Coturnix japonica: one gene and its partner. The protein of the gene in region 1 purifies or fractionates together with the protein of each later gene. This does not show direct contact. Links are inferred from orthologs where the notes say so. Each region holds a gene or a part of one and is shown in the gene's direction. Other genes may lie near its edges.

Evidence for each region.
Region 2: the proteins of NDUFAF5 (region 1) and NDUFAF8 purify together in Homo sapiens (affinity purification with mass spectrometry; 3 studies listed by BioGRID and IntAct, counting the BioPlex papers as one, with this or other methods). This does not show direct contact. The link is inferred for Coturnix japonica from reciprocal best matches to the Homo sapiens genes NDUFAF5 and NDUFAF8.

Annotation. Positions count from the first base shown.
Region 1 is NC_029518.1:10,854,087-10,858,390, reverse strand, and holds the start of NDUFAF5 (arginine-hydroxylase NDUFAF5, mitochondrial), read left to right. Parts: upstream 1-1,277; 5' UTR 1,278-1,303; coding exon 1,304-1,516; intron 1,517-1,586; coding exon 1,587-1,627; intron 1,628-2,413; coding exon 2,414-2,477; intron 2,478-2,596; coding exon 2,597-2,644; intron 2,645-2,736; coding exon 2,737-2,840; intron 2,841-3,395; coding exon 3,396-3,435; intron 3,436-3,997; coding exon 3,998-4,195; intron 4,196-4,304. UniProt on the Homo sapiens protein: Arginine hydroxylase that mediates hydroxylation of 'Arg-111' of NDUFS7 and is involved in the assembly of mitochondrial NADH:ubiquinone oxidoreductase complex (complex I, MT-ND1) at early stages. May also have methyltransferase activity.
Region 2 is NC_029533.1:5,096,450-5,099,410, forward strand, and holds NDUFAF8 (NADH dehydrogenase [ubiquinone] 1 alpha subcomplex assembly factor 8), read left to right. Parts: upstream 1-1,441; 5' UTR 1,442-1,494; coding exon 1,495-1,575; intron 1,576-1,662; coding exon 1,663-1,773; intron 1,774-2,263; coding exon 2,264-2,284; 3' UTR 2,285-2,433; downstream 2,434-2,961. Other genes in the region: AP-4 complex accessory subunit tepsin, read right to left, coding at 1-9, 96-187, 856-928, 1,080-1,121. UniProt on the Homo sapiens protein: Involved in the assembly of mitochondrial NADH:ubiquinone oxidoreductase complex (complex I, MT-ND1). Required to stabilize NDUFAF5.

The DNA of each region.
Region 1 (4,304 bases):
CTGACTCAGCCTCCTACAGGCACTAGGAGGTTAGAGTCCCTGTGCAAGGCACACAGGGTGGTATCTTCATATGCGTCTATGCAGGCCACAGAAAGTAATAGCGAATATTTTCCATCAAGGTGTCTGAGCCTGTTTAGGTGAGCTGGCTACCTGCTATCTCAACTACTGGCAAGGATGATCAAAGAGTGTTTTCAGGATTCTCATGCTGGAGAAAGACAGTGTAGCAGTGATAAACAAGAAGGTGATATGGCTGTGGAAGGGCATCAGGATACTAACTGTGGTATGACAAGTTGTACGGTGACAATAATGAAAAGATAGTAGTAAATATCCAAAAGGTTATTTACAGGAAAAACTCACCCATATGGAAGCCTTCAGTCTGCTGGGAACCACTGAGACAATCTTCAACAAGGAGCAACCACCAAGAGATGCTGCCTTAGTGGTGGTCAGCCCTTAAATGAGGTCTAGAGGAGGTGGAGTCAAGCTCCACCCCTTCCAGGAGCACAGCTAAATTACTCTCACCTGTGCTCCCACAGCTGACCCAACACTCACCTCAGCTGATTAATCAGAGGTTCAGGCTGTGATTACCAATTTCCCATACACAGGTTTTGTCACTGACAGTGACAGCAAAATGCCAAATAAAAAAAGACAAAAAGAAGCTGATAAGTGAATGGCTCAGTGGAAAGATGGAGGAGACAGATCACAAGGCTGAGGTCCTGGCCTGTGGACTTAAATTTAGCCGCCGTCCCTGGCAGTGTTAAAGAGGTGGCTGGATGAGGAGCTATGAGATCTGGTTTAGTGGTCTGCTATAGCCATGGTAATGGGAGGATGGCTGGACCAGATGATCTTGTAGGTCCTTTCACAGAATCACAGAATCACAGAATGACCCGGGTTGGAAGGGACCTCAAGGATCATGTAGTTCCAACCCCCCTGCCTGGCAGGGCCACCAAACATACACCTTTACTAGATCAGGTTGCCCAGGGCCCCGTCCAACCTGGCCTTGAACACCTCCAAGGACGGGGCATCCACAACCTCCCTGGGCAGCCTGTTCCAGGACCTAACCACTCTCCTAGTGAAGAACTTCCCCCTAACATCCAACCTAAATCTTCCCTCTTTCCAACCTTGTGATTCTATAATGCTATGATTCCAAAGGTACACACACAGGTATCACTTTGGGATATCAGGATTCCCAATAGCTATAACCGAGCTGTGAACCCAAAGCTTTACGATGCATTTCCCACCATGTCCCACACGGTGGCGGAGCTGCGGCTCATCCCACGCGTGCGCACATAGCGGCGTAGTGGGGATGATGGCGGCGGTGCGGGCGCTCTGTCGACCCGTCCTGACCGCCCCGCGGTGCCGGTGCCGGCTGTGGGCACAGCCGGGCCGCAAGGCCAACGTTCCCCCTCATAGCGGTACATCGCCGGGAGCGCGGAGCCCGTTTGACCGGCGGCTGAAGAGGAAGCAGAAGAACTGGGCGGCTCTGCAGCCGGCGAAGTACGAGTACCTGCGGGATGAGGTGCGGGATGGGGCTGTGCGGGGCCGTGCCGTGCGGGGCGCGGTGCTGACGGGCGGCTGCTCTCCCGTAGGTCGGCTGCGGCGTGGCGGACCGGGTGCTCGACATCCCCAGGTACGAGCGTTCCTCCTGTGGGAATCAAATGCTGTTTAATTATTTAGAATAAGATAAGAATATTTTATTTCAAGGTCTCATTATATAAGTAAAGGAATTTGTAGTTATTAGGTAGAAATCACAGCTACAAAGACTGCAGCTCCTGTCTGTCCAGCTGTCTGAAATAGACACTACTAATTTAATTGAATTTAATAACTACTACTAATAGGAACTACTGTTTTTTTGGTGCTGGACAAATAAGACCTGAGTAATAAAGGATCCAAAGAGAAGTTAAAATAATTAACAATATGCCTGTATAAACTAGCAACAATGTATGTATTAATGTTTTGTTGTACAAAAATACAAGTCGTGACATACCTAAGGATGTGCCTGAAGAGATATCGGGAAGGACTTTGTTTAACAAAGGCGTCTGGGACAGAATAGAAGAAGCTTTGAAGGGAATCAACATATCAATACGATAAGAGTACCGAGACATCTTGGAAACAGAAACAGCAGGATGGCGACTGACAAGATAGCAAGTGAACTAACAAATTTCAGAATGTAATTAACAAATGCAAACCTCGGGTAAAATTGTAACCTGTAATACCCAACCAAAGGGGAGAAGGGAGGGGAAAACATATGGGAGAAAAGGGATCAAAACTGTAACATCATGTCCATAGTGGCGCTTCTGCCATCAGGGCGCCCGCCATTGAAATCGTGAATAAAAACTGCTTTTATCAGAGATACTGTCCTGACCAGAATTATTGAGGACATTTCCAACACTCCGTTACCACGCTTGTCCCGCAGGACGTTCCCCCTCGCTTTGGACCTCGGCTGTGGGAGAGGGTACATCGCCCAGCACCTGAACCAGGTACGGGGCCAACGGGATGCCCAAAGAAAGAGCTTTGCCGGAGCGCTAAGGAGATGTCTTCATGCTTGACGCCACTGTGCCCAGCCTGCCTTTGATGGCTGTGACTTGTCTCGTTTCAGGAAGTCATCGAAAAACTCGTTCAGGTCGATATTGCGGAGAATGTTTTCGTAAGTATCTCCTGAGAGCTGAAGCACTTCGGCGCAGTGCTGCACAAACGGTACGTTGCTGATGGCGCTTCTTATCCTTAACCTGACCTTAGAAAAACACTGTAGAGTCTGACATCCCCACAGTCAGCGTGGTGGCTGATGAGGAGTTCCTGCCTTTCAAAGAAGACACGTTTGACCTTGTTGTGAGTAGCCTGAGGTATGTGACGATCGCTTCTTTACTCTTTATTTAAATAGCTATATATGTATGTATTTTCACATTGCTGTCAGAATATCAGTGCCTTAAACAGCAGGGGTAGGTTAGATGTTAGGCAGCAATTCTTTACTCAGAGGTTGGTGATGCCCTGGCACTGTTGCACAGAGCTGTGCTGCCCTGAACCTGGAGATGCTCCAGGTTAGTGGGCCCTGGGCAGCCTGAGCTGCTGGGGGGCAGCCCTGCACATGGCTGAGTATTGGGGCTGGGTGGGCTTGGAGGTCCCTTCCAATCCATAACATTCTATGAAAATACATGGACTCTTTTTCCTGTATTTTGACTAATTAATTGATTTGCAGCTTTTCGAGTCCTTAAAAAAACCAACACAACAACCTCTTAGCTATTGACATGAATTTCATTCAGTATCACCACGATTCTCCGCAAGTGTTTGGGAACTTTGGCAGGCTGAGAAGTTGTTTGTTAATTGTATGTATATGTTATGTATAACGTATTTTTTTTGCCTTCCCCCAAACTTCATGACGTTCGTTTGTGGTGTTACAGTTTACACTGGGTGAATGACCTTCCTAAAGCTTTTAGAGAGGTGAGGATTTGTTTTTAATACAACTTCTTAAATGAAAAACCAACACTTACCATTACTTGCATTCGGAGCTCTGTCCGCTTCCTACCACAAAAACAGCTCGTGTTACACTCAGGTGTTCTTTGCAATGTTTCTGTCAGTTTGAGGGCTATCAGTTGATGCTTCTGTTAACTTGCTGTCTCGATTCAATTTAGGATAAATAACCACAAAGCCTGTTTGTATAGTACTTCACCATTGCAACAGCTGAGATCATAGGAACTAATGTGAACTGAGGTGATGCTGTTGAAAACTTCCTTTCCAATGGGTTGCCTTTGGAGCAAGAGCAAGGAATATCTTCTCCTGGTTTCAATTCCTCCTTCATTTCAAACATGTCACCCCTTTGTACGAATATGAGCACCCTGTTATGGAATAGGAAAATTACAGACCGCAGTATATTACATAAATTGTATCGAAGCTGTTATGATTGCTTTTAAATTCATTTAAACAAAAAAAAAAACAAAAACAAACACCCAGGTATTTATTGATATTAAAAGCACAATATTTTCTTTTTCCATCTGTGTTGTAGATTCACCACGTTCTTAAGCCAGACGGAGTCTTCATTGGTGCAATGTTTGGGGGAGACACTCTGTATGAGCTTCGCTGCTCTTTGCAGCTGGCAGAGTTGGAGAGAGAAGGGGGATTTTCTCCTCACGTGTCACCGTTTGTTGCTGTGTCAGATCTGGGACATCTCCTGGCAAGAGCTGGGTTTAACACCCTGACTGTGGTAACTATACATAAACAATCAGAGCAATCCAAAACACCGGAGCTGCAGGTGTATAAGAGATACTATTTCAGGTGCATTGGTAACACAGTGCTTCCTTTCTTTTGCATGT
Region 2 (2,961 bases), on another chromosome or scaffold:
CTTCAGCACCTGACAAGGTGTCACGGGCCCAACATTGGGGTGAACTGCCCACCCCACAGCTCCATCAATCCCCCCAGCCCACAGCAATGTCGTACCTTCAGCTTGACGTGGCAGGAGCCGCCGCGCAGCCGGCCCAGCAGGAACTCCAGCAAACACTGACTGCTCCCTGCTGACTCACGGGAGATCTCTGGGCCGTGTGTTAAGGATGGATGGATCTCACCCCATTGCTGTCCCCATTATGTGTGTTAGGAATGGATGGATCTCATCGCATTACATGTGTTAAGGATGGATGGATCTCACCCCATCATTAGGTCCATGACGTGTGTTAGGGATGGATGGATCTCATCCCATTGCTGTCCCCATTATGTGTGTTAAGAGATGGATGGATCTCACCCCATCATTAGGCCCATTACATGTGTTATGGCTGAATCTCACCCCATTGCTGTGCCTATGACGTGTATTAGGAATAGATGGATCTCCCCCCACTGCTGTCCCCATTACATGTGTGTTAGGGATGGATGGATCTCACCCCATTAGGCCCATTACATGTATTAGGGATGGATCTCACTCACCCCATTGCTGTGCCCATTACATGTGTTAGGGATGGATGGATCTCACCCCATTGTTGTGCCCATGATGTGTGATAGGGATGGATGGATCCCACCCCATCATTAGGCCCATTACATGTGTTATGGCTGGATCTCACCCCATTGCTGTCCCCGTTATGTGTATTAAGGATGGATGGATCTCACCCCATTACATGTGTTAGGGTTGGATGGATCTCCCCCCATTGCAGTCCCCATGACCCGTGTTATGGCTGTCTCTCTCTCCCCCCATATCTCCCCATTCAGATACTGCTGATCTCCTCCAACACAAACCCCGGGCACGGCTCCTCCTGGTCCGCAGTTCCCCGCAGTAACACCGGCAGCTGAAAGGAGGCACAGTGAGAACCCAGCGATCCTAAAAGGCCCCACAGAACCGCCCCCCCCATCACCCCGAGGGATAATCAGTGACGTCACGCCCCCCACGGTGACGTCAGTCCACCCCCTGATGACGTCATCCCCCATCTCGGCCCGTACCCGGCTCAGGAAGCACAGCCGGTCCCGCAGCGGCGCCGCCATGACAGTCCGCTCAGCTCCCACCCGGCCCCAGAGCGGCCTCAAACTTCCGCCCGCAGGAAGAGGCAGAGCACCAATGAGAGAGCGAGGTTCACAGGATCAGCCAATCAGCGCTCAGAATGGGCGGAGCTTCGGGCGGAAGTGGCCTACGGGACTGACGCCGGTAGCAGGAAGTAAACAACTGTCCTCTTAGCCAATCAGAGCTACAGGAAGCTGGTCAGGAGGCGGGTGCTGCGCGCAACCAATCCACACCACCGGATTTTCAATCCAGCCAATCCAAGCGCGCAGAGCGCTGACAGACGCAGCGTTCCTCCTATCAAGAGGCGGGCAGCCAACAGCTCTTCCGCCATCATGGCGGCGCCCTGTGCATGAGGTGATGTCGGGCCGAGGCGTTTGGCTCCGGGCTCGAGCGCGGCTGCGGCGCTTCCCCGCTGTGTTGGCGGCGTGCGGGGAGCAGGTGGGGCCCGGCCTGGAGCACACACCGGGACACATGGGAGCCATGTCGGGCTGTGGTGACTCCGGTTGTTTCCTGTCCCCGCTTTAGGCCGCAGCCTACGGGCGGTGCGTGGCCGCGGCATCGGCCGGGAACGCGGAGCTGCGACGGGACGCGTGTGTGAGGGAGTTCTGGGCGCTGCGGGAGTGCTGCCATAGAGCGGTACGGACCAATATGGGACCGGGATACGGGGCTGGAGCAGCGGCACCACGGGGACAGGATGAGGGAGATGGGTGTGTTCAATTGGAGAAGAGAAGGCTGAGGGGTGACCTCAGTGCAGCCTGTCAGTACCTGAGGGGAACTTACTGCCAGGAAAGGGCTGACAATAGCAGGACACGGGGAAATGGTTTGAAGTTAAAAGAGGGAAGATTTAGGTTGGATGTAAGGGGGGAGTTCTTCACTATGAGAGTGGTTAGGAACTGGAACAGGCTGCACAGGGAGGTTGTGGATGCCCCGTCCTTGGAGGTGTTAAAGACCAGGTTGGACGGGGCCCTGGGCAACCTGATCTAGTAAAGGTGTATGTTTGGTGGCCCTGCCAGGCAGGGGGTTGGAACTACATGATCCTTGAGGTCCCTTCCAACCCGGGTCATTCTGTGACTCTGTAATATGGGGATGGAGGAACCGGGACCAGCTCACACAGGTCAATCTGCAGGCGGCGGCGACGGCAAAGTGATGAAGCTGACCGAGGTGATGGAGGTGACCGAAGTGATGGAGCTGACAGCTGGAGCTCAGGGTTGGCCTCTATTACAACCCCAACCTCAGGCTCCTTCACCCCACGCAGCTTTTCCCCATCAACCCGTTTATTAAAGCACTAAAATCAGATCGAAATGCTTCAGCTTATTTTATTGATCCGCACGGTTCCGTCTCCCACCAGCCCCGCTACAGACGGTCCCTGTTAAGGAACAGCCATGCGCTGCCCCTCCTGGGCTGCTGGGGAATGGCCGGGTATCTTTGGTCCTCTGTGTTCATGGAGACAAATGCCAACAAACCCACGATGCCACGGAGACGTTCAGCAACAAACCCACGTCACCAAATGCATGGCAGCACCACGGGGCAGGAGCGTGTCCTTGTCCTCGGGTGGCCCCAGCACTGTGAGAAGGGAAGGCTCCTCCTATAGAAAGGCCAGTGACAAAGCACACTGCAGGCTCCAACACTGAGCAATGTGCTCTTGAGCCCCTGCCTTGCCCAGTCCCTGCTGTGCAGGGCTCCTGCTGGTTGTGCTTTAAGACAGCGCGATGGAGAAGCTCACTTGTACAATGAAGTCCTGAGGGTTAAGGCTACGGCAGTCACGAGGAGACGCACAGGGAAGCGGGGTGGGAGCTCCTGGTGAAGAAATGGGGCTGAGTCGCT